7 linked regions of the Rattus norvegicus genome follow. The protein of the gene in region 1 interacts with the protein of each later gene in a pairwise test. Links are inferred from orthologs where the notes say so. Each region holds a gene or a part of one and is shown in the gene's direction. Other genes may lie near its edges. The genes, in order: Meox2, Cntnap2, Fuca2, Emd, Cib3, Syt17 and Naa10.

Region 1 (4,334 bases):
GTCTAGTTCAGGTTGCTGTACTCATTAATCCCATTAGCAATTTCAAAGACTTGACCATCATCTTCTGGTCACCCAGACAATAAACATATGGCAGTTAACCGTAGTGGCACGCCCAAGCCCTGAACACAGTAGGCTACTGCAGACATCCTCCTTGTAGACACTTCACAGACAGGACCCACTTTCCTGCAGCTCATTCTCCAAAGCTTGTTGTGGGTTAAAGAGAGGACCTCTAGTAGACTCTGTGGCAGGTCAAGCAAGCTAAAGGCTGTGTCAACCGCAACCCGGCTCTCACAAATTCACCAGTGGGCAAGTTTCGTAGTTCACTTCCAGGAGCCCAGGCTGTAAACCTGGGGGAAATGAACCATCATAGCAGGGTCGACTCTGAGGAAATGTTGAGTTTGCTATCTGCTTAAAACAGAGAGGTGGCAAGGAACGAACGGAATGTATGCAAAGAGGAGCACTGTAAGCTAAAAAAAGAAATTTCATTTCTCAACGGATGGGGGACGGGGTGGTGTGTGTGTGAATTGGCTCCTGTAGGGTTAGACTAGAAAGGGTGAAGCTGGGAGCAACTTATACTTGCTCAATTGATGTTTCTTAGGGTTGTTCCTGACCCAGAAAACTTTCCCAGTGAGCGAGTGTTGAGGAAATTGAACAAACTGGGTTGTTAAAGAGACATAGGGCTGGGAGGACACGGTCAGAAACAGAAGAAAGGGGGACACCACTTGGAGTGGCACATAAATATGTGCCACCAAGGCACCAGAACTTGCATCCATCTCTGCTTAAGGCACACCCCACTGGCTACCTCTCCATTCCGCACTCAGAGTAGCTCTGTGCTATCCTTGGTGCTCAGCCCTACAACCTCCTCTCTGGTGCGGGTTTTCTAACAATCTATCCTAAAACACCTAAAAGGGAAAAATATAATGTGCCCCTGAATGCGGGAAGTGCGAGTGGTCTTGGAGTTTGAAAAGCTAGACTGCTTCGCTCTTTTCCTTCTCTTGAACTCTAATAAGTTCTCTGTGATCTGAAAAGTCAGAGAGCGCCTGTAGGTGACTGCAACCCCCACCAAGGCTGGGAAATCTAGGTTCCAAGAACAGTGAGCGAGCACAGACACGGGGTGCTGGCTTAGCATAGTCGAGTGCTTCTGTGTCTGGCCACGGGAATCTATGGGATAGATCGCGGTGGTGTCCCTGAGCTACTGAGGCTCTGGGCGCTCCACTAACTGTTGTGGAAGCTCCCAGGACCCGACGGGCGTGGGGCAGCCGCTCCTGTCCTGCCAGCAATTGGGAACTGGAAATGAGAGAGTACGGTGGCGCTGACTGAGCGGGAGTTTTGGAGGGAGTTTGCATGTGGTCAGCGCTGGGCTCCTAAGCCAGCCCCCAGCTCACATTACACTCTATTTATAACCTCTCAGAGCCATTTCCCCCCCTGAAAGCAGTTCTCTGGGACCACCTTCTTTTGGCTTCCACCTCTCCCACACTTGACATCTGAGCAGCTGCAAGGGAAGCTCCTCCAGGTCCTAGTGTTTATACGTGCAGGAGACTGGCCGCTCGGCTCAGGACTGGGATTAGCGGGCTCTGCTCAAACCCGCGCGGCTTTTACATTAGGAGTGAGTGGGGGAGAGTCCTAGGATTTCTAGTGAAAAGTGACAGCGCTTGGTGGACTTTGGGACCTTCGTGAAGTCTTCTGCTTGGAAGCTGAGACTTGCATGCCATGGAACACCCCCTCTTTGGCTGCCTGCGCAGCCCCCACGCCACAGCGCAAGGCTTGCACCCCTTCTCGCAGTCTTCTCTGGCCCTCCATGGAAGATCTGACCACATGTCCTACCCCGAACTCTCCACATCTTCCTCGTCTTGCATAATCGCGGGATACCCCAATGAGGAGGGCATGTTTGCCAGCCAGCATCACAGGGGGCACCACCACCACCACCACCACCACCATCACCACCACCAGCAGCAGCAGCACCAGGCTCTGCAAAGCAACTGGCACCTCCCGCAGATGTCCTCCCCGCCAAGCGCGGCCCGGCACAGCCTTTGCCTGCAGCCTGATTCCGGAGGGCCCCCGGAGCTGGGGAGCAGCCCTCCGGTCCTGTGCTCCAACTCTTCTAGCCTGGGCTCCAGCACCCCGACCGGAGCCGCGTGCGCACCAGGGGATTATGGCCGTCAAGCGCTGTCACCCGCAGAAGTGGAGAAGAGAAGTGGCAGCAAAAGAAAAAGCGACAGTTCAGGTGAGTGTCGGCAAAACAATCCTGGGGAGAGTGCGCTCTGGGCTAGGAAGATGCAGGGGAGGTAGGGATGGTTCTTGTAGAAAGACAAACTAAGAAGCAGCTAGCGTTTCCTCTCTCTGGTGGCCGAATTCATCTATGCAGGGTCGGCCCTGTAATTCAGGAGCACGTGTTTCACTGAAGTTAATATATCTACATCCAGCCGTTCAAAGCCCCCCAAGATCGCAAATCAGTTTTCCAGAAGCGTTGAAGAAAGAGCAAGTGACACTATGCGAAATCGGTTAAGGAGCGTGGCGGTCCATCCACTGGTTGGGCGGGGTGTGCTCTTTGGGATGCTGCATCCTCTGGGCGTGCGTGCATGTCTCTGTGTGTGCGTGCATGCGGTTCTCTTTGACTTTTTCTTTCCAATTCCCAACTCTGAACAGCTAGACTTTTCCTATCATTAGCTTGGTTTCCACATTATTGCACAATATCTTGAACTTTAACTGGATTTGACAAAATACGCAAAAATAGAAAAGAAAAAAGAAAAAAAAAGAAAGAAAAAGAAACCCAAAACTTTTTATTTACATTTTATTTTCAGAGTTCCTTAAATAGCATTTACTTAAAATGATATTTAAAAAGCATTCTATTCATTTGGCGAAAAAGACATTATCCAGTAATCTAGAAGTGTTTAAGGAATACATCTGAAAATTGCGAATAAATAGATAAGGGCTTGACGAAAGGGTATTCTTATAGTGATTACACTCATGTGGTGCTAACATAGGATAAAACAAAACAAGCAAAAAAAAATCAATCAGCCAACTAAAGGAAACAAAACTTTTGAATTTCAAGAGTGGAAAATAAAAGCCTTCACCAATTGAGTACTGCTTGGAGGTGCAGCGAAGAGAGCTGACAGACAACAGCTCTGACAGCGCTGGAAGAAGATACAGAGAAAGTGTGGGTAACCTGAGCAGCCCAACAAAAGGGGAGCCTCCCAGAAGAATTCAGGGGCCTGAAAGTTCAATAGCCAGTACATCCCGGCAGCCCAGTAAAACTGAAAATTTCCAGGAAGCACAACAAAGCCCTTAACTATATTCCTCATTGTAAAGATGTTTACTTTCTTCCTTTCTTCTTTCCTTCCTACCTATCTTTCCTCTTTCCGTTTTCCCTTCTTTCTTTCTGTTCTTTCTTTCTTCCATTGAATCTTCCCTGTAGTTACAAGGCAACCTGGATACAGATTTTGGAAGACATCACTTAACTAGCACAGTGTTTGCATTTATTTAATTTTCTGTGTTAGCGACTTGAAAGTTAGAACATACAATTTGAGGCATTAGTTTGAAGAATTGAAAAAAAATCGCATTTGCAGTGTAGGACAGTAAGGGCTGTGTATTTTGTAAGGGGTTGAAAGATGATAGAAACTTTTCTTGACCCCAGTGTGGGCTGACTGCTTCCTTCCCAGCCGCGTTGAACCTGCGATTTTCTAGGTCCAGGGTGAACTTTTAATGCTCCATCATGATTAGTTATGTCTAAGAATGTTACCACACTGTCATTTTGTTTAGCGGTTATTGCTGAATGTGCGTGAAATCCTAAGACACTGAGAAGGTTCCTAAGAAGGCATTAGAATCCGCTGGGTTTCCTCAGATTGGGCTTCATGAGCACAAATGCTCCATTTGCTTCTGCAGGTTGGTAGTTACCTCAGGAAGGACCAGAAGCCCCATTCCCTGTTTTCTTTCTGCAAGGGGGAAACTGACCTACTTCTGAGCTGAACCAATGCCCTAAAGATTATTTGCGCACACGAAGGAATTTTTGTTCAGGCACAAGTTATTTTTGGGTGGGGAAACAGGGAAAGTGAGATGCCAAGCTCTTCCCAATTTGTTTTACTATTTAATATAACGGTCTTAATTCAACGTTATTTAATATAATGGTCTTAATACTGACTAGCAGTGGTTTTCATCACCTTTACCAGGGGCAAGTAAGCACACAGCAACGCCAAGCTTGTTTTAGCATGGTGAAACTCGTTTAAACACCAAAACAAGTAAAGAGAATAAACATTTGTGCCAACCACCCAGTGTATTAATACGTTACAAAGATGGGAAATATAATCAATAGGAAGGATAATGTCACTGGGGTTGAC
Region 2 (4,366 bases), on another chromosome or scaffold:
TGTGTGGCATAACATTGTTCTACTCCATCATTGGTCAACTATGTTTTTTTATTTTTACAGACTTTACTCAATCTGTAGTTCTTACTAGAACTTAAAATCAAATAAGGGGTGGGGGGAGAGATAAATTAATGCTGACTCAGGCCCTTTAACACCATACTGATTATGTAGTGAACACATAGCTCTGTTTACAGTAGACTTCTCTAAGATATAAGCATAACATTAAAATTCACATTCTATTCACAGAGTGGGGAAATCATCACAAAAATTTATTTATCACAAAAGGCAAATGTATGTTTATTGCATAACTCTGAAAGACAGCGTTACTCCTCCTCAAACCTCCCTAAACATCATTAGGTATTTAGAGATCTATAATTCTTAATTGTGTCAGTAAAGGCTGTGAAAGGATTGATTCTTTGGGGAGGAAATAATACAAGTACTTTCTTGGACTGGATGCTAGGAAAACAAATCAGTGCAGAATGTGGCTAGATAGGAGCTGAGGGGTAAGGTTGAGAATTATTAGTAAAATCATCTAAATGATTAGAGAAAGCAGCATTTCTATAGACCTTCTTAGTTATTAATACTTTCAACACTTAAGCACACCGAAGTAATTATCATTTGACAACATATTTACTCTACCTTTCCTTTTAGGGTTGTTTGTGTTTGTGGTGTGTGGTTTTCTCAGCATCATGTGTTTGGTGAATGTGTATATATGTATGTCTGCATCCATATATATATATATATATATATATATATATATATGGAAATGTGAATTAATTACATTTAAAACACCTGAATTAGGTACCTCTGAACAATCCTATCTTTCTCTGCTACAGCCAGCCAGGATGTTTAGACCTGTCATTTGGTGTTAGGATCACTCGGAAGACCTGCCTTTCGGACTCCTGATTGTGGTTCTTGGGAGTTCTAAGCTCCGGGAGCCTGTACCATCTCTATCTGAAGGGGAGGAAAGAAGCCAAAGAGAAAGCATCCCAGCAAGAGGTTTTTCCCTCCTACTGCTGGGTCAGGGACTAGCCAGGTCTGGAGCAGGGTTCTTAGATTACACAGCAAATCAACTTCAGCACCGCGGACAGCAGCGCCTCCCGCTTAGACTGAGGTGCATCTCTTCAGCCTTGGCCCCGACTCCAGTTAATGGACCTGAGCCACTAGCTTCCTTCTCTCCTTTGCTTCCAAAGCAAACGAAGGCAGGGCAGAAAGGTTGTTACAGCAAGAGGAGTGCAGTAGGAAAAGAAAAGGAGGAGGAGGAGGAGGAGGAGGAGGAGGAGGAGGAGGAGGAGGAGGAGGAGGAGGAGGAGGGGCCGGGGAGGGGAGGGGAGGGGAACAAGAAGGGAAGAAGCGGGGAAGCTTCCCTTCGCCAGGCTCGCCCGGGTCTGCAGGCGCTGCTGGAGGCAGCAGTCTCCAGCTCCCGGCTGCGGTGGTAGCTGCTGAGCTCTCTCTCCAGCGATGCTTCTTAGTGCCGCGCCACGCTGAGGCCGAACGTGTACGGGGGCTTGCCTCAGCTCCATACATCCTTGATCTCAGCCTGGGAGCTAACAGCCTACTGGAAAACCCTCTGAGTCGCGCTGCCCAGTGGCCACCCAAGCGCTCGCCCGCAGTGGCAACCGCAGCATCACCGGACCCATCGCTCTCGGTTCTTTCCTACGGTCTGAGTTCTCTCCAGATTTCCCCCACGCGTCCTTTGATTTTTTTTTCCAGAAGAGAGGGCGGGGTAGGTGTCAGTCCCCTCCTCTCTCTCACCCCTCCTATTCCTTCTCGGTTTGAATTTCTTCCCCTGGCATTTCACTGGCTCTCAGAGCAAGAGACCAGACCCACAGAGAGGGGAAAGCCAGGCTGCGCCTCCCTTGCTGCTGCCAGCCCAGAACTGGAACCTAGAGAGGGTGAGGGGAGAGGAAGCAAAGCAGGAGGAGCTTGGCTTCCTCTCGCATCTGAGGACAGACCGGTTCACTTCAAGAACCTCACAGAGAGGCAGACTGCATCTCTGCAGCGAGCTTTTGGAGTACCACTGGCCCGGAGGCTAAGGATGGTGATTTCTCTGAGAGCAGGCTGCAGGGCAGCGCTCTCGCTCTGGATTCTCAGCAGCTTCATCTGCAGAGCCTGGACAGCTCCCTCCTCCTTCCGTAAGTAGCTCTCTGCTTTCCTGGCTCCTTACTGGAGTCACTTCAGTGCCGCATTGATGTAAGGGCGCCCGGGTATCAACTCTGAGGTGCATTCTCAATTCTTGTCCCTCATGTGTGTGTGTGTGTGTGTGTGTGTGTGTGTGTGTGTGTGTGTGTGTGTAGGATACTTCCTGTTTGTAGCCACTGCCGCAGAGAAACTCCAAACCGAGGAAGCTCCTTGTTCAGTGGAGATTTTCATAGTGCTGGATGCTTCTGGAAAGTTGTTTCTAGTCTTGAAGATTGCTCCGCAAGTGCTTGGTTAGAGTGATGAGAGTAGCCGTTTCTTGATACTTATCAGTGCAGTATGGAGATGATTACATATTACTTAGGACAGAAAACTAGCATAAGTTTTTGATTTTTATTGATGGCTTTTACTTGTGTTGGTCTGAGGAAGAAAGAGGAACATATTTCAAGCAGTTTGGGCACCTATGCGTTTACTAATCTCTTTGGCCCTCCTAAAAAGTTAATGCTCATTTAACCCTTCCTTAATTGTATGTATTTTTAAAGTGAGGCTAATATCGAGACTGACACTGCACTAATTCCTTTGTGGTTTGGAGTAATGAGCATGACTCATGCAGGCTAGGACTTGGGACAGCCAGTGCAATGGCATAAGAGATGGTCTGAAAGTTTTTAAGAAAATGATGTAACTGCTCAAAAATTTGTGCTTTTAAGGAGGGGGGTGGAAGAAATGGAAGATCTGGCCAATTTTATGCATTGCTTTAGAAATTTATACTGTGTATGAAGAGGGGAAAGGTATAGTTGGCTTTGTCTGAGAAAGAGTTAAACGCTGGACTGATTCTGTAACACTTTGCACAGTTTTCCTAAGCATAGCCTTGTTTGTGAGATTGGGTGAGTCCATTGTTGAAGGAGAATGGAGTTCAAGGGGAAATATTCTCCACTTAGGATACATAAGTTCAGAAGTTTCTAGATGCTTCACACATGATTTGCACCCCATACCTCTTTATAGATTCTGTGGCTGCATTAATGTTCACCTTTGTCTGTATTTCCATATTAATATAATTATTACACCGTATAAAATATTCAGAGCAGCCATGAAATAGTTTTCTTTTATGTTTTGATTGACAATCATCACCAGTGCTATGATTAGTAGTATTTGGACATATTCCCAAGTATACGTCATGAGATTCTTCTGCGTTGTTTAAAGAAAGAGGTGGCAAAAAAGAACATAACTAAGTTTTTGTGAACTTGAAACTTTTATTTATCTCAAAATATACACAAATCTAAAAATATGTGCTATTTTATCTGTGTTGATTTTATAGACTTAAATGGAAATTGTAAAGCTACCTTTAGTAAGTTATGTTGGTGGAATTTTAATTTTCACTTTAAAATATGCTTGTACAGTGGAATGGAATTGGCTTCCACGTTTTGTACAGACTTACTAAAAGTTAAAATACGTTGTACTTTCCTGTTAGAGTCCTTATTTCCCAGTAGCTTCCAGAATTCTGTATCTCATCTTTCTGTGTGTCTGAGTAGAAACGGGTCGATCTGAATCATTCACTATGCATCCAGAATTTTATATTTGCCCTTATTGCATTGGTATAGTTCAAAGATTCAAAAGTTATTTCAGAAATATGAGCTTAGCTTTTGCTGCTTAGAATTCAGTGAAGAACAACACCAAAGTCAATATGTTTAAAATTCTCGTGTTTGAGCTTTAGGGTTCATTTAATTGTTATTTCAAAACCTAAATAATTAAAATATATTAGGTTAAGATAAGGTTTTATTATATATGAATACGAACTCTGAAACACAAACAAAAGTTGCCTAAAACATCAGAGTGAGGATGGTAATGAGTGATACCTAAATTTACCGATGATATGGAATTCTCAAATTTATTTTTGCACATAATGAAAAATATGCATTTTGTGTTGTATTTTGAAACACTGCATGATACTTATGTTTTTAATACGTAGAAATGCTTAAAGCAGAAAAATTGTAACTCCATGAATCTAAGTTAATGAACATCTCAACCAGGAGGGGTCATCATGACACAGAAAGTAGTAGAAAACTCTAAAAGGAAGAGTCCATGTAGTCTGTGTTTGGAAAATACGATGGCTATGCTCAAACATCCTGCTTCAGAATAACTTTGTAGTATAGAGAGGCATTCTCGTATAGATGATTAATAGTTTGAGTTTTCTATTATACATTTCCAGCATACCCTGGCTTAATGAGTTTTT
Region 3 (3,022 bases), on another chromosome or scaffold:
ACACTGAGGACTGTTCTAGATTTCTGTAAGTATCGTTGAGAAATTGGGAGAACAATGAATGGTTGTCCCTGTGTCCCCTTATGGTTTCCACTGTTCTCTCTTGTGCTGTGACTCTTGGGTTAAACATGGTTGTCTTGGTATAGAAGCTGTCTGATGTCCCAATCTTTAAAAAAGGACAAAAACAACCATTTGTTACAATTTTATGTTTTCTTTCACATTGTGATTCAAGACTTATATTTTATTTGCGTGATTTTCCGTTCTAGCCTGAGGCACGTAAAAACCAAGCACCGTGTTTGGCTTTCTGCTGCATCTCTAATAGTGAGAACACTATATCCGCAGGTGGAAGCCTAGCTAGCTCCCGTTAGCTTATTTCTACGCTCTGTTCTCAGCTCCACATGAGCAGTTCGAAGAGAGACATTAGCTCACCGATCCTCTCACCCGCCAAACTTCCTCTCAAGCAGGTATGGCAACACTCCTGTGATGCCAGCATTGAGGGAACTAAGGCACCAGGACTGTCTTGAGTTCAAGGCTTGTCCCAGCTACAGATTAAGACTGACACAAGACAGAGCAAAAACCAACCTGCTTTTAATATTGGAGGTTTGGAAAAGGGAGGGACTTTTCATACCATATGGGAGGAAAGTGGGCCTTTTATTTATTTTTTTTACTAGTGGTGACATTGTCAAGTATCTGTCAAACAATTGCAGACATGAACCAGAAATACGGACAGACATGGGATGTAACTTGATACAATGGCAGGGTCTTTTTGTCTGTTTTTTCTAACCAGGTACACATCTAAACCTGAGAAGAAATTAGTCTATGCTATTTTTCTGAAATGGCCCATCTCTGGAAAGCTGTTTCTTGGACAACCCATAGGTAGTCTGGGGGAAACAGAGGTAAGAATGAATTTTATCATGACTCTTCCTTTAGTTGGTGAGGGTAAACCACGTTGGGGAGAACATAGCTTGCTTTAGCTTCTAGGGGAAACTTTCACGTGAACCTCATGTGAAAGGAACCTTAATGGCCTCCCTGTCTTAGTTAGAGTTTTCCTGCTGTGAACAGACACCATGACCAAGGCAACCCTTATAAGGACAACATTTAATTGGGGCTGGCTTACAGGTTCAGAGGTTCAGTCCATTATCATCAAGGCAGGAGCCTGGCAATGTCCAGGCGGGCATCGTGCAGGAGGAGCTGAGAGTTCTACATCTTCATCTGAAGGCTGCCAGGAGAAGACTGACTTCTAGGCAGCTAGGATGAGGGTCTTAAAGCCCACACCCACAGTGACACACCTACTCCAACAAGGCCACACCTCTAATATTGCCATCTCTGGGTCAAGCATATTCAAACCATCGCACTTCTCCAACATCACACCAAGAACATGTCAAATCAAAGAAAGATGTTGTCATTCTTTTGTGATTATTAAAGGCTGTCATCAGACCCAGTGGAGTGCCCTGCAATGTATCTTGGGCCCTTTTCTAGAAGTTGATGTGTTTGGAATGAAATATCCTGTGACTCTCTTGTGACTCCCCTTCACATTTTAGTTCTAACAATGGAGGTTGACCAGGTAGAAAACTGGGTTTCAAATCTAGTGTTAAAGCAGTCTCCAAACCTGGACGCGGCAGTGTTTCGTTGTTTTGTTTTGCTTTCTTTAAATCTATGTCTTGCTTGGCATTAACTAGTATGATTAAAATTCAGGGCTTTGTTTTGCGTTTTTTCCATGTGATGAAGCGTTATGGTTCAAGTAACCCTAGAGTATGTTCAGAACTACTTACTTGACTTCTCTTAGAATGAGCAAGACCAAGACTGCGAAACAGCCGTCGATACCACTGGTTAAATCCATACACTATTGAAGGGTAAAACATCACTGGAAAACTTGACAGTAGTGACTACCCAGAAGGAAGTCGTTATTCTGGGTGTAAGAACTGGGCAGAGTGCTCCCCGTTACTTCCCGCGTTGTCTTCAAGCATCCTTCCCAACCTGTGCACACGTTTGTTCGTGTCTCAGGGGTAACAGGGACAACAGGAATGAGTGTAAGAGAGCGTGCGAGTGCCAAAGGTAGAAGTGGAGCCCTGTCTAGCACTTTTTAAGAAACTCTAATTCCTTAGCCAGTGGACATCACCGGGATGTATTTGGGAACATTTACGCATTGTCCCTGTTTCCGATTGCAGGTAGAACTACTGGGCCACGGACGGCCACTGACTTGGACATCTTCAAAGCCAAGCGGCATTGTGGTGGAGTTGCCCCGGCTAAGCGTTCATCAGATGCCCTGTAAATGGGGATGGACTCTGGCACTAACCAATGTCACTTAACCTGCAGCAGACAGATGCGTTCTACAGGAGCCTCTAACCACAGGAAACGTCAGGGTTTCCTTTTTTTGTTGTTGTTGTTGTTACACTAAAGAGACTAAATGATATAAAAATGATATAAAAACTGAAGCCATTACGCGATGCAGCTTCCCCTCTCTTTCTTCCTAAATTCTTCCCTACATTGCTCGTGTCACCGTCTGACCATGCTTTCCTCCAAAGTCTCTTCCTACTGAGTCCATGTCACATGTCACTCACGGCAGGTGGAAATCTTTTTCCAGGGAAGCTAGGAACTGGCGATGCTATGGACTGAATTTCCTCCCAACTCCTCGTCTTATATTGAAGCCCTAACACCCCACACGGCTGTTTTTAGAAACAGAGACCTTGGAGAGACGGGTAAGATCAGGCTGTCATAGGGTTATCCCTAATACCAGAGAATCTGCTGTCCTATGAGGGAAGGAGACAGTAGAGATACAAGAGCACAGAGGAAAGCCACGTTAGGAGACATTCATCCACAAGCCAGGGGGAGGAGTGCAGAAGAAACCGAGTCTCTCAAACACCCTCATCTTGGATTTCTGCCCTCCAGGACTGAAAGGAAGCATAACTCCCTGTTGTAGAAGCCATCCAGGATGTTTGGTCTCTCCCATATCCCCCATCACCCTGTCATTGAATCCTTGTATATAATGCAGGCAGTATGTAATAGATTAGATTTGAGGTAGGCA
Region 4 (4,546 bases), on another chromosome or scaffold:
CTATAGAGGACTGGCCAGTGACCTTCACTAAAGTGTCATCAAGGCCAGCCTAGAGCTGACCAGAGTATTCACTATCACTATCATTTAGAAAACCCATGGGTTGTAACCCCTCTAATAAACCTCTATCTCCAAAAATATTTACATTATGACTCATAAGAATAGCAAAAATTATCATTATAAAGTGGCAACAAAAATAATTTTATGATTGGGAGTCACTACAACATGAGTAACCGTTGTGGTCACAACAAGGGTCACAGCATTAGGAAGGTTGAGAATCACTGATTTAAGAGATCAGGCATCCCACACACCTTTTCTGCATGTACCCCCTCTTCTAGATGTCTCCAGTAAAGGGCAGCTTACACCTAGAGCCACATGACTTTTCGTAGAATATAATGGTCATGCTCACTCTTCAAGGCAACCTTTCTCTGATCCAGATCCTTAGTGAGCCTCCGTCAATTCCCATGGTTTACCTTTAGGCCAGCAGTTTGGAACCTCTGGGATACTATTCCTTTGGGTCTCACATATTAGATATCCTTCATATTAGATATTTATAATTTATAATAGCAAAATTACACTTATGAAGTACAACACAATAATTTTATGGTGGTGGTGGGGTCATCACAATATGAGGAACTGTATTAAAGGGTCGGCAGCATTAAGAAGGTTGAGAGATACTGCTCTAGGCTTTGCACACTGTCTAGGCCTCTAAGGTCACACCAAGCTTAGAGACTCTGCCAAAGAAGACTTCTCCCCTCAAAACTCCTCAGGGCCCAAGGTGGATGGAACAGTGAGTTAGGCAGGTACAAGGTGTACCCATCTACATGCATCACATAGCAGGCACCTTCTGATTGTGCCCATTGGCATGCCCTGGACCTTTGGAAAGCTGCTTGGTCCTACAGTGTTGGCGGCCTCTTGTCCCAGTGCTAGCCCCATTTCCTCCCGGATGGAACTAGGCGGCAGAGAGGACGGTGGGAATGGGCCTGTACAGGTGTGCAGGCCAGGGCCATGGAGCCTGTGAAGACCAGCGGAGATGGGTAGCGAGTGCCAGGGGTCTGTGGGTGGTTATGTAGGTGATGAGAGTCCTGTATGACAGCACTTGTGCACACAAAGAGCTCGCAACAGCGTCAGGCGCTGTGGAAAGGTTTGCTCTCAGGATTGGACTCTTCACATTGCTGTGGACCAGACTGTGGCTGAGAATCCTAGGCACTGGAAATCAGGATGAAGCCACAAAGGTGTGTAAGATTTCACAGCTTGGGAAATCACAAGCCAGTTTTGGTCCGCTGAGAACACTTGTCGCCCCTCTAGTACGTTGAGCTTTAGCACCCTCAGATAGCCTAGCTAGCCCCGCCCCTCAGCTGCCTAGCTCTCAAAGGAAGTCTCCGCTGCCCCAAAATCTCTCCCGCAAGCCCCTCCCTCTTCCTGTTCGAGTCAATCTCACACAAGTGTGACGTTTGTATTTGCCAGTCCAGCCTGCTAGACTGGTCTGTACTGGCCGCTCCGGCGGATTTGGGCCTGCCCTGAGGAGAGCGCGCAACCTGCGTAGCAGCGGCTGTGACGCAAACGTGACGGCGGCTTGACGCGCCCACAGCCGCTCTTGAGGCGCTGGCGCTTCCTCTGCTAGGCTCCGAGCTGTCTGTTTCTTGGGCCCTGTGTATAGGTGCCGGCCGCCCCTGGCGTTCAACACCGCTTCCAGGTGCCGGCCGTGTCTGCCATGGACGACTATGCGGTTTTGTCCGATACTGAGCTGGCCGCAGTGCTACGCCAGTACAACATCCCGCATGGGCCTATTGTGGGTATGCTGCAGCCGGTGGCGCTCAGAACCTCTCGGTCCCCCGCTTTCCCGCGCTCCTCCCTGAGCGTTCTTCCTACCTCCTCCTTCCCTCAGGTCCCCTCCCCGTGTTCCCTTGTGCTCTTGGGGTGCTCGGCTCGCACCCGCTGACCGCTTCGCACCCTGTGTCTGGGCAGGCTCCACTCGCAAGCTCTACGAAAAGAAAATCTTCGAGTACGAGACCCAGAGAAGGAGGCTTTCGCCCCCCAGCTCGTCATCGTCTTCATTCTCCTATCGGTTCTCAGGTGAGGCTCCAACTGCACAGCCCCAAAGAGCAGCTTGGGGCACAAGGCGCAGGGAGGGAGGGTGTGGCTGAAGCTACTGAGGGAGTAGGGGGAAGTCTGGAGATTGAAGGTCCTGTACCTTCTCCTCCACATGCAGACTTGGATTCAGCCTCCGTGGACTCAGACATGTATGATCTGCCCAAAAAGGAGGACGCCTTACTTTACCAGAGCAAGGGTAAGGCAGGTGTGGGATGGGCACTGATGTCTTTATCCCATGCTTCAGGGATTTGGGCACAGTGAAACTCCAGACCTCACCCCCTTGTACCAGTTCTCAGTGGCTTCAGAGAGAAGAAACTGGCACAGCACACACACAGACTGGGGGGGGGGGGCGGAAGGTGGCAAGAGGCCAGGTAAGGGGCACCACTTTTTCCTCTACCACTGTTTTCTTCCTCAAGACTATAATGATGACTACTATGAGGAGAGCTATTTGACTACCAGGACATACGGGGAGCCCGAGTCTGTGGGCATGTCCAAGAGCTTCCGCCGGCCAGGGACCTCACTTGTAGATGCTGATGATACCTTCCATCACCAGGTGAGTTGTCTGGTAGGCATACCTGGGGTGTATGTAGCCTTAGGGAATTCTAGGTTTGGATAGTTCAAGGAGATACTAGGTGCAGAGAGTGGATCTTAGGCCTTCAAGTATGGTTAGGATCAGCATACAGTTGTTGGCTCAAAAGTTCTACGTTGGAACCTCCAAAACTATTAGATTTGGGGATGAGCATATATAGCTCAGTAGAAGAGCATTTACCTATGGTTTCATCTCCAGCATCCAGCAGCACACACAAATGTTTTTGGGGTTTTGGCATTTTTAAAAATTTAATTACTTTAATTATACCTATGTGTAGCCAATTTTTTGTTAGTTTGTGGGTTCCCCTCACCCTTTCACCCCCAATCATTAGATAGAGAAAGAGAGCTAAAGATCCCTGAATCTAATTTCTTTCTTCCTTGTGTCTTCTTTGACCCCAGCTACTAGCAAACTGTAACCAACCTCACCTATTGGGGCTCTAGTATTTACATACCCTCTGAAAAATTCCCAGAATTCCAAATACCACAAAATTGCAGAAACTATCTGCAACTCAAAAGCATGAAGCAAATCATAGCTGCTGTAAAACAGCCCCATATCCCACATCTAGGGTTAAAATAAAAACATTCTTATAATATTTCTGTGTTTCTTAAGCCAAATTTCAAGAATTCTCACTACATGTATGTGTCTGTGGGTAGTATGCATGAGTGCTGGTGCCTACAGATGCCAGAATTGTCAGATTTCCCCTTAGATTCCCCTTAGAGCTAGAATGGCAAGTAGTTGTAAACTGCCTGATGTGAGTGCTGGAAAATGACCTTAGGTACCTAGGAAGAACAATAGGTGCTTTTAACCACTGAGGCATCTCTGCAGCCCACAAACTTTTATGATCTGAGCATATATAACAGCACCTGTACTCTAGGATGTAGGTTTAAGCCTCCTGAGAATCCTGGGGAATAAAAGGATGGTGGGACAAAGTTGACAAGGTTTGTAACTGGGTGGCAAGGCCCCACAGTTAAAGAGGGCATGGACCCAGAATGATGGGGGGGCAATTTTCTGCCCCCTACAATGTGACTAGAGTAGGCTAGCCAGAGACATTTGGGGAAACCATTCTTTCCCATTTCTAATCCTAATTATCCGGCAGGTGCGTGATGACATTTTCTCTTCTTCAGAAGAGGAAGGCAAGGATAGGTGAGTAGTGAACACATGTAGGGACAGGGACAAGTTTGACACTCAGACTCTCCTGCCTACCTGTCCCCTTCTTTTGCTACAGGGAACGCCCCATCTATGGCCGAGACAGTGCCTACCAGAGCATCGCACACTACCGCCCCATTTCCAATGTCTCCAGGAGCTCCCTGGGCTTATCATATTATCCTACATCCTCCACCTCTTCTGTGTCCTCCTCTTCATCTTCTCCCTCTTCATGGCTTACCCGACGTGCCATTCGACCAGAAAAGCAGGCCCCTACTGCTGCTCTGGGCCAGGATCGACAGGTCCCACTCTGGGGCCAGCTGTTACTCTTCCTGGCCTTTGCTGCCTTTCTGCTCTTTGTTTACTATTCCATACAAGCTGAAGAAGGCAACCCCTTCTGGATGGATCCCTAAGGGTATTGGTTTCAGAGCAGCTCTTAACAGGAGTTTTGGCTGACTGCCTTAGCAGTGTTTGCTGGGGGTGGGGGGTAGGGGCTTTTTTGTGTATTCTAGTTAGAGGGTACAGGGCCTAGCCTACGGCAGTGCTTGTCTCCACCTCATCTTGCCAAGGAAGCAGCAAATGCTGGCTTTCCACAGCCCAGTAGGCCCGTATGTACCTTCCTCTGGAGCCTCCTAGCCTTATTGCCTCTGACTCTTAGGGTATGGGGATCTGGTGGGGAGGACCTCACTTCATTAGAGGAAAACTTGGTGGTGGCAGTGGTAG
Region 5 (4,632 bases), on another chromosome or scaffold:
CAGCTAGAATGGACAAGGGGAGCAAAGGGAGGGGCATCTCTCCTTGGGGAGGAGGCTAAGAGAGAAAGATAAAACTCCCTAGCAGAAAACAATTTTTCTCAAGCAAATTATTTCCAAGTTAAGCACCAAGAGGATCAAGTAAAACTCCTTGACAAACAAAGCAAATAGTTTCATGATTTTAAACACAGTCGTCAGTCCAAGATTTTAAACACAGTCGTCTATCCAAAGTTCAAAAACGAAACAAAAGTCAAAAAGACACTCGACAATACCACAGAAAACAACCCAGACAAACAAGACCAAGACAAAGCATCCTATAACCAATTTCCACAGATGTTCAAAGAAAATTAGGACACAAAGAAGACAAACAATTCCAACAGTCAGACAGACAGACGCACCGCGCGGCTTCGGTGTCAAACTGAAACCAAAAATTCAGACAGAGGCGACAAGGGTCCGGATCCTTCAGTGGATCCGGCTCTCTCCTCTCTCCTCCAACCCAAAACCACGTATCCTTCCGATACAGGCTGAGCCCCGAAAAACCGGGCTCTAAACACCCTTGGAACGTCTTCCAGGGCTGCGGGGGAGAAGTTCGAGCTCGTCAGCTCCTTCTCTGGCCCGCCCAAATACAAACGGTATAGACCCAAGCCAAGTAACTAAGCATTTACAGAACAAGTCACAAAGCAAGACAAGACAGGACAAGACAAACACTGGCCAGCTTACCTCCCGGTGGGTGGTCGGTGGTCTCTAGACAGAGGATCTCCGATCCCGGACGAGCCCCCATATGTAAGACTCTCAGAGAGAATCTTCCCTCAGGAGGGAGATCCTCAAGCCCAATGACCAGTCCGAGTCCACAGGCTGCAATCAGCAAGAGGATTTTTATTGATCAGGATACACAGGTATCTGTGGGCGTCCCAGTCAATTCGGAAGACTGGCGCGCCTAGCAGAGCCAGGGTGGGCTTTTTATAGTATTTTGGGGAGCAGAAGCAGGCTTACAGAAGCAGATGCATGGTTACAGGGATGTGATTGGTGGAGTAAATGAGGCATACGTGTATGTTACTTATTTTGGCTATAATCATAACAATGAGTTAGCAAAAAGTACATGGTGGTCAGGGCTTCCAGGGGGTCAGGGACTTTTTCTTTTTCCTGTCAGGTGGCCCATGGAGTAGTGCCCATAATTTAGTCTGGTTTCTGCATTTTGTTTTCTTTTCTGGTCTGTTTCGTCTAAATGATGGGTCAGCTTGTCCCACATATCTAAAAACTTACTTTTTACTTCTATAGTTGAGGGCCTTGGGCTTGTACAATTCCCTTTCTGGGAGGGGGGTCTTTCAATGTAATTTCCATTCTTTCTGCGAGGTTCATAGAGGTCGGACAATTACCCAAGGCTACACAGCTAGCCAGGGGGAAAGCTAGGGTTTGAGCTTGGGTGTGGGCATGGCCTTCTCTTGAAGGCGTCCCAGACAGAATGGCTTCTCTGTGACCTCTCACAGCCCTCTTCCACACCTGTGGACACAGTCAAAAGGTTGCCCAGAGAGCCAGGCTGTAACTTGAGCTTCACTAAGCTTGGGGCAACTGACTGGATGGGTGGGCGGGTGACAGCCAGGGGTCATTGCGCAGACACTGTGTGCACAAATGCCCCTGAGGAGCCACCTGTAATTTCAGTTCCGGTGGATTCAAGGCTGCGGTGTGCAGCATGGGTAACAAGCAGACTGTGTTTAGTCACGAGCAGCTGGAGGAATACCAGGTGGGCATGTGTGGTGGATCCTGCCAGGCGGGCACAGCTTGGCCTGGGATACGGGCAGCTCAGAGTCTCCTCAGAGCCCTATTTGTGACATCAGGCTATCTGTGTGGGTTTGGACTGCCTAGAGGGGTACATGGGGAGACGACCCGGAGGCAGATCTGGGTCAAGCCGGTTTCTCTCCCCACAGGACTGTACTTTCTTCACGAGGAAGGAGATCATGAGGTGAGTGGGGGATGAAGGGAAATGATACCCCAAAACAACTTTCTAGTCAGTGCTGGGCCTTTGTGCAATCTTCTGGTTATTGTTCTTTCTGTCTTGTTTGTTTGAGAAAGGCCTAGGCTAGCCTCAAAATTACCTCTGCCTCTTGGGTGCTGGGATCGATCACAGGTGTGTGTCACTGTAGCTGGCTGCAATTAAGAAATATGATTGTGAGGGGTTGGGGATTTAGCTCAGTGGTAGAGTACTTGCCTAGGAAGCGCAAGGCCCTGAGTTCGGTCCCCAGCTCCGAAAAAAAGAACCAAAAAAAAAAAAAAAAAAGAAATATGATTGTGGGGGCCATGATTTGTGAGTGTGCAAATGTGCCCTGGTACACTTGGAGCAGTCAGAAGAGAATTTGTAGAGTTGATTTTTTTTTTCTGCCCCCTTTAAGTGGGTTCTGGGACTGAACTCAGCTTTCAGTCTCTTTCTACCACGTGGGTCTGAGGGGTCAAACCCAGGTCATCAGGCAAGGCGGTGTGTCTTTACCAGATTAGGCGTTTGAGTCATTTGCCGTCTTGGATCCTCTTGATTTCCCTTTTCTCGTTCGTCCTTCCTTCCTTCCTTCTTTCCTTCCTTCCTTCCTTCCTTCCTTCTTTCCTTCCTTCCTTCCTTCCTTTCCCTGAGAGATAGGGTTTCCTCTGTGTAGCCCTGGCTGTCCTGGAACTCCCTCTGTAAACCAGGCTGTCTTCAAACTCACAGATCCACCTGCCTCTGCCTCCCAAGTGCTGGGATCGCAAGCCTGTAGCACCATGCTCAGCGTCTTTGCAATATGAAGAGAGCTGAGATGTAGCACCATCGAGTTTAAAGCTTCGATGACGATGTTGCCTGGAGGTCCATGGACTGAGGCAGAAACGCCTGGCTAAGAAGTCACACCCTGCCTGAGCCACGCACCGGCTGAGTTTTTGTATCGAGGAGCTTGTCCTTTACCCAAGGGTGTCAGGGAGCCATGGAAGGTGCCTTGGAGAGGCGCATTGGCGCTTTGAGGTTGGGAGTGCAGGGCAGAGCTGAGATCCAGCTCTGAGCTGTGAGGGGCACAAAGGAGATTGTGCTGGGTGGTGGCAGCTCCTGGGCGACTGACTGCAGGTTCTTGGCTTGAGCCCAGCAGGATGGACACTGATGAACCTCCCATGTCATCCTTCTGTTTGTTGATCCATTATCCGTGAAACCTAAGCCGGCTGCGGTTCAGCTGTGGGGCAACAGGCCGAGCCCCTCTTGTGTGGGTACAGGGCATCCATTATTGATGGGTACACCTCTAACCCATCAGCCTATTGTCTGTGAGGACAGCTGGCAGGTCACTTTGGCCGTCATGATCAGATTACTGGTGGGGAAACTGAGGCTTGGGCAAGGAAGACATCGGTTCCCAGGGCAGATGGACAGAGTCCTGATAAGTGGTGTTCTGACTGCCCAGGCTTCCAGATTGTTAAACAGAATGACCAAGGCTGGGAGGAGAGAGGAGCTCACTGGATGCCACAAAAAGACACCAACTCTATGGGTCCACAATATGGCTCAGCAAACAAAAGTGCTTGCTGCCAAGCCTGAGGATCAGGGTTCAAACCCCAGGACCCATATAGTAGAAGAGAATCCACTTCCACAAGTTGTCCTCTGACCTCAACACCTGAGCTGAAGCATACACACAAATAAATACGTAACTGTAAAAATACTTTTAAAGAAAAGGTAAACACGACATTCTCCCACAGGACCCCGGGGATTTAGGACTGAGCCTTACCAGCCATTCTCAAGTATGTAGTCATGAGAAAACCCATGGATATCCTTGCTCCTCTGAGATAGTTCCTAGCAGCTTTTGGACATCAGAGGTATCAAAGGTGGTCTCTTTGAGGCAGGTGAAGAATGTGTACGGAAAGGTTATATGTGTGGTGGTCAGTGTTTCCTATGTTCCCTTTTTAAAAAAAAATCCAGAAGCAGCACGAGCCCGTCACTTCCACACTCGGGGAGCAGAAGCATCAGGAGTGTGAACATTAGTTGCTTGTCTGTGCCCTGCTTCATCGGAGGAAGCCTGCCTAGCGTAGACAGCAAAGGAAGCGGTGGCTGGGGTGGAGGAGCAGTAGAAGCAGGATCCTGCGAGGTGATGGTGGAGTATATAGGTTATACCCTAGATCCCTCAAACGCTGACTGTGGAATAATCAGCCATTGGCACCTCCTTCTTCTAGCTCCATTTTCCTGGTGAACTCCTACTCCTACTTCTAAACCCAACAACAATGCTCCTTCCTCCCGGAAGTTCTTTCTTTTTACCTTGTTTCTCCTTCCTCGCTCTACCTTGGCCTTGTCTATGGGGAGGGTGACAGGGCTCTGTGCACTCAAGATTCAGATTCATGCCTGAGGCTTCTGGGGACCCAGCATCCGTCTTTGTGGAGTGAGTCCAGTCAGTGTTCAAGAAGAGGGTCAAATCCCTTCTGCCTCTTGGGTCCCAGCCTTTCCTGGTTTCTCTCTTCCCACACCAGGCTGTTCTATCGGTACCAGGACTTGGCCCCTCAGTTGGTGCCTCTTGACTATACCACCAGCCCCGAGGTGAAGGTGCCCTACGAGCTGATCGGGAGTATGCCGGAGCTAAAGGTAATCCCGGGCTGTGGGGAAAGAGTGAAGACAGACTGAAGATGTCTCCATTGCATTCCTATATCCCC
Region 6 (3,877 bases), on another chromosome or scaffold:
TCGACTGAGTTTGAGCTTTGGAGGGATCTGTGATTAGTGCTCTTAAGTACTTCCCCAGGAGGCTGTCCCTGGCACTTCAAGGAGCTTGAGCACCTGTGCTATTATTAATTGATTTTTTTTCCTAGAATTGAACTCTTTTGGCTTGAGTTCAGGTCCGCAGCACCCATGTAAAAGCTGAGTTTGGTGGTGTGTTACCCTTTGCTGGGAGGCAGAGACAGGAGGATTCCTGTGCCTCACTGGCCAACCAACCTTGAGTTGATGAGCTCCAGATTCCATCCCAGAAAGAGCAACTGAGGAAGACGCCTGACATTGACCACTGTCCTCCACAGACACATGTGCACAATTACTTACAGGGAACCAGGCAAAGGGAGCCAGGATCACATGATGGTGGTAGAAGGCGGCCGGAAAAAAATAACACAAGGGGAATGCTACAGAATTAAATCCGGGCTGGATTTAAAGATGGGCTATCTCCAGCTTTAGAGGGCCCACCTTGCTTTGTTTACAGGGAAGGATAGGAGTGAGCAAGAGTCAAGTAGCTGAACAAACCCAGACTGTCTCCCTCTGCACCCCAAAGCCCTAGCTTGCATTGCACCTCCCTTCCTGTCTAGGATCTGTCCTAAGCTGGTCATCAGGATTTGACCTCTGCCTAATGGGTTAATACCACCACATTTCCTGAAATCATGAAACCCTGGGCCTGTAAAGATGACTTAGCTGGCAAAAGCGCTTGCCACAAAGTCTGATGAACTGAGTTTGATCCTTGGAGCCAGGTGGAGGAGGTAGAGACTGGTCTCCCGAGAGTCATCCTCTGACCTCCACATGGTGCTGTGGATGTGTGTGATCACAGAGAGAGAGAGAGACATGCACATGCCCACGTGTGCATGTACACACACACACACACACACACACACACACACACACACGAAATGTTACAATTTTTTTCAAAGAAAATAAATCCTGGGTCCGTAGAGGAGCCCTTCTTGGAAGAAGAGGAGGGAGTTTAGAGCTTGGGGACCTATGAGAAGAAGATGGGGTATGGGGTGGAACCAGAGAGGAAGGACCAGCTCCTGGCTTCCTTCCAGCCCCTCCCCCATTTGTGGGTGGTCGAAGGATGCTCTCTACCAGCAGGATTGGAGCAGGATTGGAAGGTAGGACCCTGGCAGGGGCGGGGGAATCAGCCTGTCAGATTAGCTAATCAGGCCCTCTTGGGCTGGCTTCTGGCTATTTCAGTCTGGGAAGGTTTGCGAGTCCCCTGAAGTGTGGCTGTGTGCTGAGTAGCATGACAATCTATCTGCCCGCTCTGATTCATAACAGCACATCAAATGGAAAAGCTCACATTTCCCGTTTATTCGCTGTTAGTTAACCAAGAGGCTCCCAGCAGCCCTGCAAACATAGCCATACCTTGGTAGTAAAGTCAGCTCCCTCCCCAGAATGGTGAGTGCAAAGAAGGTGTGGGGTGCTGCTTTCTGTTGTTTTTGTCTTGCTTGTTTTGAGTTGCTGGAATATTGCTAAACTGGTTCTCTCTCTCTCTCTCTCTCTCTCTCTCTCTCTCTCTCTCTCTCTCTCTCCTTCCCTCCCTCCCTCCCCTCTCCCTTCTCTCCTCTCCTCTCTCCCCTCTCTGCCCCTCACCCTGGCTTCACCGTGGCTCTCTAAAAGGGCAGTTGGAACCACTGAACGAGGTGGGTTAATTCAATCATCTGTTTGGACTGGATTCTAATCAAATGCTTGCTTTTCCGTTTGGAGTCTGGTGTGGGGCTGGGGCATGATTGAGTCCTGAATCACAGGATATTAACAAGGGTACAGTTTCTCTTCCCTTCTCCCAAAAGGGAGACCCTGGCAAAAGGGACATGGCTGGACAGACAGCATGTGTGTCCTGACTCAACCGGACTCCCCCAGTTTAGTTGCATGTCCCTGGGGCTATTTTTTTCTGAATTATCTTTTTTCCCTTTTGCCAGAAGAGAACCCTATGCATTGTGTGTTTGAGAACATATTGTCTGGCCCTCTCCATGTTGTAATAACCGCCCACCTGTCAAGAAAGGCACACACATAAACTACAAAGGCAAACACCTGCAAGTGTTTTGCTGCTCCGAATGGCTGCAGCACTTCTGTTTGCCTTCCTGTATGCCACAGCGCATAAATAAGAAAATTTCCCCCTACTTGCAATTCTGCTCTGGGGTGCCTATTTATCATGGGTGGGTCAATCCCAGATGGGCTTCTTATAACTCGGGGTGTTATCTCTCTTCTCTCTTCCTCTCCCAATGGCCCCAGGGCTTTCTTTCCAGAATCTCTGATGTGCTGCTGTGTGGATGGACTTGTCAACACTGCTGTCAGAGGTGCTATGAGTCCAGCTGCTGCCAGTCTAGTGAAGATGAAGTGGAGATCTTGGGACCTTTCCCTGCCCAGACTCCTCCATGGCTGTGAGTACCCTGCTTGGAAATTTACCTCCCAGCAGCCTCTCCACTGGAGGGAGGGCAGGATGGGGGATAGAGTTTCCATGGACATAGCTGAGAAGGGCCTCTTTGTGCCCCCTCATTTGTGGGCCAGCTGGTAGCACCAGCTGGTGGTGAGGCTCCTGCTCACACCAAGCTTCTGAGATGCTAGCCGGGCTATGCTAATCTTGGGGACACTTTAAGTAGTCTAAGTATCCAAGCAGAAAAGGACCTGTGTTCTTTTCTAAGGAACTTTGTGAAGGTAACAGTGTCTGAGTGCCTCCTTCCCAGGCAGCATGGCAGACTGACATTATGCCCAGCCCCAAGCCTGCACCAAGTAAATGCTCAGTGAATCTGAGATGCCAGCACCTTTCCGATGCTGCTTTTAGCTGGCCTGAACGAGGCCTTATAACCCGGATCCCCAGGGAGGGATGTTCCAATGCTGGTCGTGCTCACCCTAGCTTCTTCCGTTTTATTTCTAATCCACTCCCCTCCTGCACCCGAATACGACATCTCCATCTGCCAGTCGCTCAGATATTTTGGGAATGCAGTTTTGAAGCTCAGCCACATGTCTGATCCACCTCTCTGTGGCAGGGAGAAGGATGTGGTCAGAGTCTGGGGAGGAGCCAGGAGACCAGGGTTGGGAAAGACCTAGTAATAATTAACAACAGATGCTGCTGGGAACTCTGGGAGGGAGGCCCAGAGAGGAGATGGTGCTGGGTGCAAACGGAATCCAGGGGTAGCACTCGAAACTGATTCATCTAAGTCTTGGGCTGAAATTCCGGAAGTCCCTGGAGCCCCATTTTTCCTCTGGGTTGGAGGTCATGCCGTGTGTGCTCTTTCTAGAAGCAAGTTTCAGATGTTTCCAGGACACACTGGCTTCATGTCAGCATGTGTGAGTTCAGTCAAGTTCAGTTTCTTTTTTTTTTTTTAAAGATTTATTCATTTATTATATATAAGTACACTGTAGCTGTCTTCAGACACACCAGAAGAGGGCATCGGATCTCTTTACAGATGGTTGTGAGCCACCATGTGGTTGCTGGGAATTGAACTCAGGACCTCTGGAAGAGCAGTCGGGTGCTCTTAACCTCTGAGCCATCTCTCCAGCCCCAAGTTCAGTTTCTATGACAGCTTTCTAGCTCTGAGAAAGTTACTTGACTTTTCTGAGCCCTGGTTTCCCATCTGTAAAATGGGACGATACAAAAAAGTTAGTATTTACCACACAGGTTTGATGCATTTGTGTTTAGAAAAGACTTAAGAGTGCTTCAGACTTTGTTGATGATCAAAATCTACATCATTTGTTTGTTGGCTTGTTTATTATTGAGACAGGGTCTTACTATGTAGCCTTGACTTGTCTGGAACTGTCTTTATAGACCAAGCAAACCTCGAACTCACAAAGATCTGCCTGCCTCCGTCTCCTGGGAACTGGGATTAAAGGCATGGTGGCCTTT
Region 7 (3,074 bases), on another chromosome or scaffold:
CTGGACATGACCATCTCTATGAAGAGAGGACTTAGTAGTACCTAGTGCCACTTGAAAGTGAGGCTCGAATAGACTAACTTGAGGAACCACTGAGCCACACTAGACTTTGAGGGGGTCCAGTGAAGATGACACCATTGGAACAGGATGGTGGTCTTCAGCTTTTCTGGGTTCAACATCCATATTCATGGAGGGACTTTTGACCTAGTTAAGATGCCTCTGTGGCAGGAACTGCTTTACCTGCTAAGTCAGCAGTTCCCAGCTGGGTATGGTAGTACATGTCTCTTAATCTCTGCACTCAAAGTGGAGGACTGTGGGTTGCAGTCCCAGCATAGGGAGTTCCAGGTTAGTCTCAACCACATAGCAAGACCCTGTCTCAAAAGATGGGTGCTGAGGAGATAGCTTAATTGTGAGGACTTGTGTTTGATGCCTGGCACTCATGTATAAAAGCCACATACAGTGCCCTGTACCTATTATCCTAGTGCTGAAGAGGTTAAGACAAGAGAATCCCTAGGGTTCACTAATCAACAAGCCTAGTTGAATGGACAAGTTCCAGATTCAGTAAGAGACCCTATTTTGAAAAAAATAAGATGGAAAGCAACTGAGGAAGTTACCCAGCATGTATCCCTAAAGACTGGCAAGGAACCTTCCTAGGTCATCAACGGGTTTCTCTTCCAGTGTCAGGGATACTTAATTGTGCACACACACCTCCCTCCCCTCATCCATCTGGTGAGTAACCAGGTTGTCTATGATGACCATCTACATGCAGGTACAGTGTCCCTCTTTCCTAGCAGAGGAACTATGTGTTCAGTAAATAACAGGGAGCAGGTCAGGGAGAGGAAGGCAGAATTAAGGACTTCAACTCAATACACAAGTCCTTGATGGTTGGGCTAGGGACAAAGTGGTAGCAAGTCTAGGAATCAGAAGTGCCCTGGATGCTACATGCTATTTGGCTTTACTTGAAGAGCAGAGAAAACTATCATAGCTGTTGAACAAGAATCCAGTCAAATGAAAAACAAAAAGGAGAAACCCATTTACACTGGCTTTTTGCCTCTACAAAGGTCCTACAGGGGGAGATGACATTTACCCCAGTAGCCTAAGAACCTGGAGAATTTGCCCCTAGGCATGTGTCTTGATCCTACCCCCAGGATCAGCGAAGTGGAGCCCAAATACTATGCAGATGGGGAAGATGCATATGCAATGAAGCGGGACCTCACGCAGATGGCTGATGAGGTAAGAGTTCAGCCAGGCCAGGGCAGCAATTCCAGCAGTAGAGGAGATTCTGTAATTGGGAAAGGTGTCTATTTTCAGTGAGACCACAGAAAGTACAGATGTCAAAGAGCTGTGAGACAGAGTGAGGCAGTGGCGACTAGAGGCAAGACCGAGACTGAGTGTCAGCTTTTGTGGTTGTAAAGCTAGGAATCAGAGCCCCTCTTTCCCTTACTCCCTAAGCTGTCAAGTCAGGGCATGGCCTTCATTGACTGTAAAGGAGGCCATGGGATGCTTTCTGGGGAAGAAGTCTGGAGATGGGTGGAATAGGAGAGACAGTAGGAAGATTTTTTTTTTAACAGAGGAATTGGGACTACTATGGTTGGGGGCAGCCTGCTCAGATCTAGGATTAAACTGGGCTAGGGAGAAAGGGTCTCTCTGACCAAGCCTCCTGGAAAGGCACTGCTCTGTCTTGGGGGCTTCCCAGCAGCGTATTTGAGGGCAATAGAACTCATGTCATTTTACAGATGAAGCAGGCTTAGGACAGAGGTAGGATTGAACTACATTTCTACCCAGTCCTATTTCCTGCCTTGGCCCTACCACTTCTCACTGTGTCCCTTCCCCCAGCCAGCCCCAGGGCCTGGCTCCTCTTGTCTCCTGTCTGGAGACTTAGGCCCTGTCTCTTTCCACCCGCTTCCCTCTGGGCTCCCGGCGGCAGCTGAGGCGGCACCTGGAGCTGAAGGAAAAGGGCAGGCACATGGTGCTGTCGGCCATGGAGAACAAGGCGGAGAACAAAGGCAACGTGCTTCTGAGCTCAGGAGAGGCCTGTCGTGAGGAGAAGGGCCTGACTGCTGAGGATAGTGGTGGGGACAGCAAGGACCTCAGTGAGGTCAGTGAGACCACAGAAAGCACAGATGTCAAAGACAGCTCAGAGGCCTCTGATTCTGCCTCCTAGAACCTGCCCTACCTGGTCCCAACCTCACCCCATGTGCTTTTTACAATAAATGTCACCCAGTGGCCTTGGGAAATTTGTGAATGTGCATAGTGGGGTATGCTTTTTTTCCAGCTCCTATATGGCAGGGATACTATCTTCACAGCCCAGAGCGTACTGAGCTCACAAGTCAAATGTTTGAGGATGGGACCCCAATCTGGCTTCCTTCAACAACTGAGTTGGAGTTGGCAGATAAACTGTCTTGGGTGCCATATTCTCATGTCACTTTCCTGGCCTTCTACAGATCTCTGTAACATCTTTAGTAATTTTCTAGGGCTGAACAAAATGATTTCTTGGGTTTTCTATTCAGCCTCACATTTCAGAGGCAGCTCCCCTACCTTGATGTTCTTTGCTGCATTGCTTTACCCTCTCAGCCCTTTACTCCTAGTCATACTTGCTCTCTCATCAGTAGGAGCTCCAGTTTATACCTCCTGGACCCCAAGTGCTTAAGTCCAACTCCTCTTTGCACTTATCTGGAGAGATCCTAGCTGGATCCTGGCCTATTCAGTTACCCAGTTGCTCAGGCTTTTCCTATCTGTAGCCTTTTAAAAAATTTTTTTGTGAAACAGGATCTCTTACTTAGCCCAAGCTGGCCTGGAACTCATTATGTAGCCCAGGCTGGCCTCAAACCTATGCCAATCCTGCCTCAGACTCTAACGTGCTGGGATTACAGGCGTGAACCACTCCTCCATTAATATTTTATATTTGCTGTGAGGCAGTGGTGGCACACTCCTTTAATCCCAGCACTTGGGAGGCAGAGGCAGGTGGATCTGTCTTTTAAGCTCCAAACTAGCCTGGTCTACAAAATGAGTTCAGGACAAGGCTATGCAGAAAAACAAGACAAGACAGTTCTATGCTTTATCTAGTTCTTGACTAC

The links.
Region 2: the proteins of Meox2 (region 1) and Cntnap2 interact in binary tests that used the Homo sapiens proteins (3 or more experiments, as listed by UniProt). The link is inferred for Rattus norvegicus from reciprocal best matches to the Homo sapiens genes MEOX2 and CNTNAP2.
Region 3: the proteins of Meox2 (region 1) and Fuca2 interact in binary tests that used the Homo sapiens proteins (3 or more experiments, as listed by UniProt). The two-hybrid records come from large-scale screens. The link is inferred for Rattus norvegicus from reciprocal best matches to the Homo sapiens genes MEOX2 and FUCA2.
Region 4: the proteins of Meox2 (region 1) and Emd interact in binary tests that used the Homo sapiens proteins (3 or more experiments, as listed by UniProt). The two-hybrid records come from large-scale screens. The link is inferred for Rattus norvegicus from reciprocal best matches to the Homo sapiens genes MEOX2 and EMD.
Region 5: the proteins of Meox2 (region 1) and Cib3 interact in binary tests that used the Homo sapiens proteins (3 or more experiments, as listed by UniProt). The two-hybrid records come from large-scale screens. The link is inferred for Rattus norvegicus from reciprocal best matches to the Homo sapiens genes MEOX2 and CIB3.
Region 6: the proteins of Meox2 (region 1) and Syt17 interact in binary tests that used the Homo sapiens proteins (3 or more experiments, as listed by UniProt). The two-hybrid records come from large-scale screens. The link is inferred for Rattus norvegicus from reciprocal best matches to the Homo sapiens genes MEOX2 and SYT17.
Region 7: the proteins of Meox2 (region 1) and Naa10 interact in binary tests that used the Homo sapiens proteins (3 or more experiments, as listed by UniProt). The two-hybrid records come from large-scale screens. The link is inferred for Rattus norvegicus from reciprocal best matches to the Homo sapiens genes MEOX2 and NAA10.

What each region holds. Positions count from the first base shown.
Region 1 is NC_086024.1:59,582,507-59,586,840, forward strand, and holds the start of Meox2 (homeobox protein MOX-2), read left to right. Parts: upstream 1-1,518; 5' UTR 1,519-1,710; coding exon 1,711-2,224; intron 2,225-4,334. UniProt on the Homo sapiens protein: Mesodermal transcription factor that plays a key role in somitogenesis and somitogenesis and limb muscle differentiation. Required during limb development for normal appendicular muscle formation and for the normal regulation of myogenic genes.
Region 2 is NC_086022.1:75,108,022-75,112,387, forward strand, and holds the start of Cntnap2 (contactin associated protein 2 precursor), read left to right. Parts: upstream 1-1,336; 5' UTR 1,337-2,035; coding exon 2,036-2,132; intron 2,133-4,366. UniProt on the Homo sapiens protein: Required for gap junction formation. Required, with CNTNAP1, for radial and longitudinal organization of myelinated axons.
Region 3 is NC_086019.1:9,718,472-9,721,493, forward strand, and holds the end of Fuca2 (plasma alpha-L-fucosidase precursor), read left to right. Parts: intron 1-784; coding exon 785-893; intron 894-2,165; coding exon 2,166-2,306; 3' UTR 2,307-2,439; downstream 2,440-3,022. UniProt on the Homo sapiens protein: Alpha-L-fucosidase is responsible for hydrolyzing the alpha-1,6-linked fucose joined to the reducing-end N-acetylglucosamine of the carbohydrate moieties of glycoproteins.
Region 4 is NC_086039.1:157,188,834-157,193,379, forward strand, and holds the start of Emd (emerin), read left to right. Parts: upstream 1-1,604; 5' UTR 1,605-1,711; coding exon 1,712-1,793; intron 1,794-1,885; exon of another isoform or gene 1,886-1,965; coding exon 1,966-2,073; intron 2,074-2,209; coding exon 2,210-2,287; intron 2,288-2,507; coding exon 2,508-2,644; intron 2,645-3,776; coding exon 3,777-3,823; intron 3,824-3,905; coding exon 3,906-4,236; 3' UTR 4,237-4,546. UniProt on the Homo sapiens protein: Stabilizes and promotes the formation of a nuclear actin cortical network. Stimulates actin polymerization in vitro by binding and stabilizing the pointed end of growing filaments. Inhibits beta-catenin activity by preventing its accumulation in the nucleus.
Region 5 is NC_086034.1:17,654,836-17,659,467, forward strand, and holds the start of Cib3 (calcium and integrin-binding family member 3), read left to right. Parts: upstream 1-1,617; 5' UTR 1,618-1,687; coding exon 1,688-1,738; exon of another isoform or gene 1,739-1,868; coding exon of another isoform or gene 1,869-1,922; coding exon 1,923-1,957; intron 1,958-4,452; coding exon 4,453-4,564; intron 4,565-4,632. UniProt on the Homo sapiens protein: Acts a an auxiliary subunit of the sensory mechanoelectrical transduction (MET) channel in hair cells. Plays a role in regulating hair cell MET channel localization and function.
Region 6 is NC_086019.1:182,189,182-182,193,058, reverse strand, and holds part of Syt17 (synaptotagmin-17), read left to right. Parts: intron 1-1,139; exon of another isoform or gene 1,140-1,428; coding exon of another isoform or gene 1,429-1,431; intron 1,432-1,653; exon of another isoform or gene 1,654-1,658; coding exon 1,659-1,676; intron 1,677-2,265; coding exon 2,266-2,414; intron 2,415-3,877. UniProt on the Homo sapiens protein: Plays a role in dendrite formation by melanocytes.
Region 7 is NC_086039.1:156,806,552-156,809,625, reverse strand, and holds the end of Naa10 (N-alpha-acetyltransferase 10), read left to right. Parts: intron 1-1,058; coding exon of another isoform or gene 1,059-1,077; exon of another isoform or gene 1,078-1,092; intron 1,093-1,120; coding exon of another isoform or gene 1,121-1,133; exon of another isoform or gene 1,134-1,145; coding exon 1,146-1,230; intron 1,231-1,833; coding exon of another isoform or gene 1,834-1,924; coding exon 1,925-2,161; 3' UTR 2,162-2,248; downstream 2,249-3,074. UniProt on the Homo sapiens protein: Catalytic subunit of N-terminal acetyltransferase complexes which display alpha (N-terminal) acetyltransferase activity. Acetylates amino termini that are devoid of initiator methionine.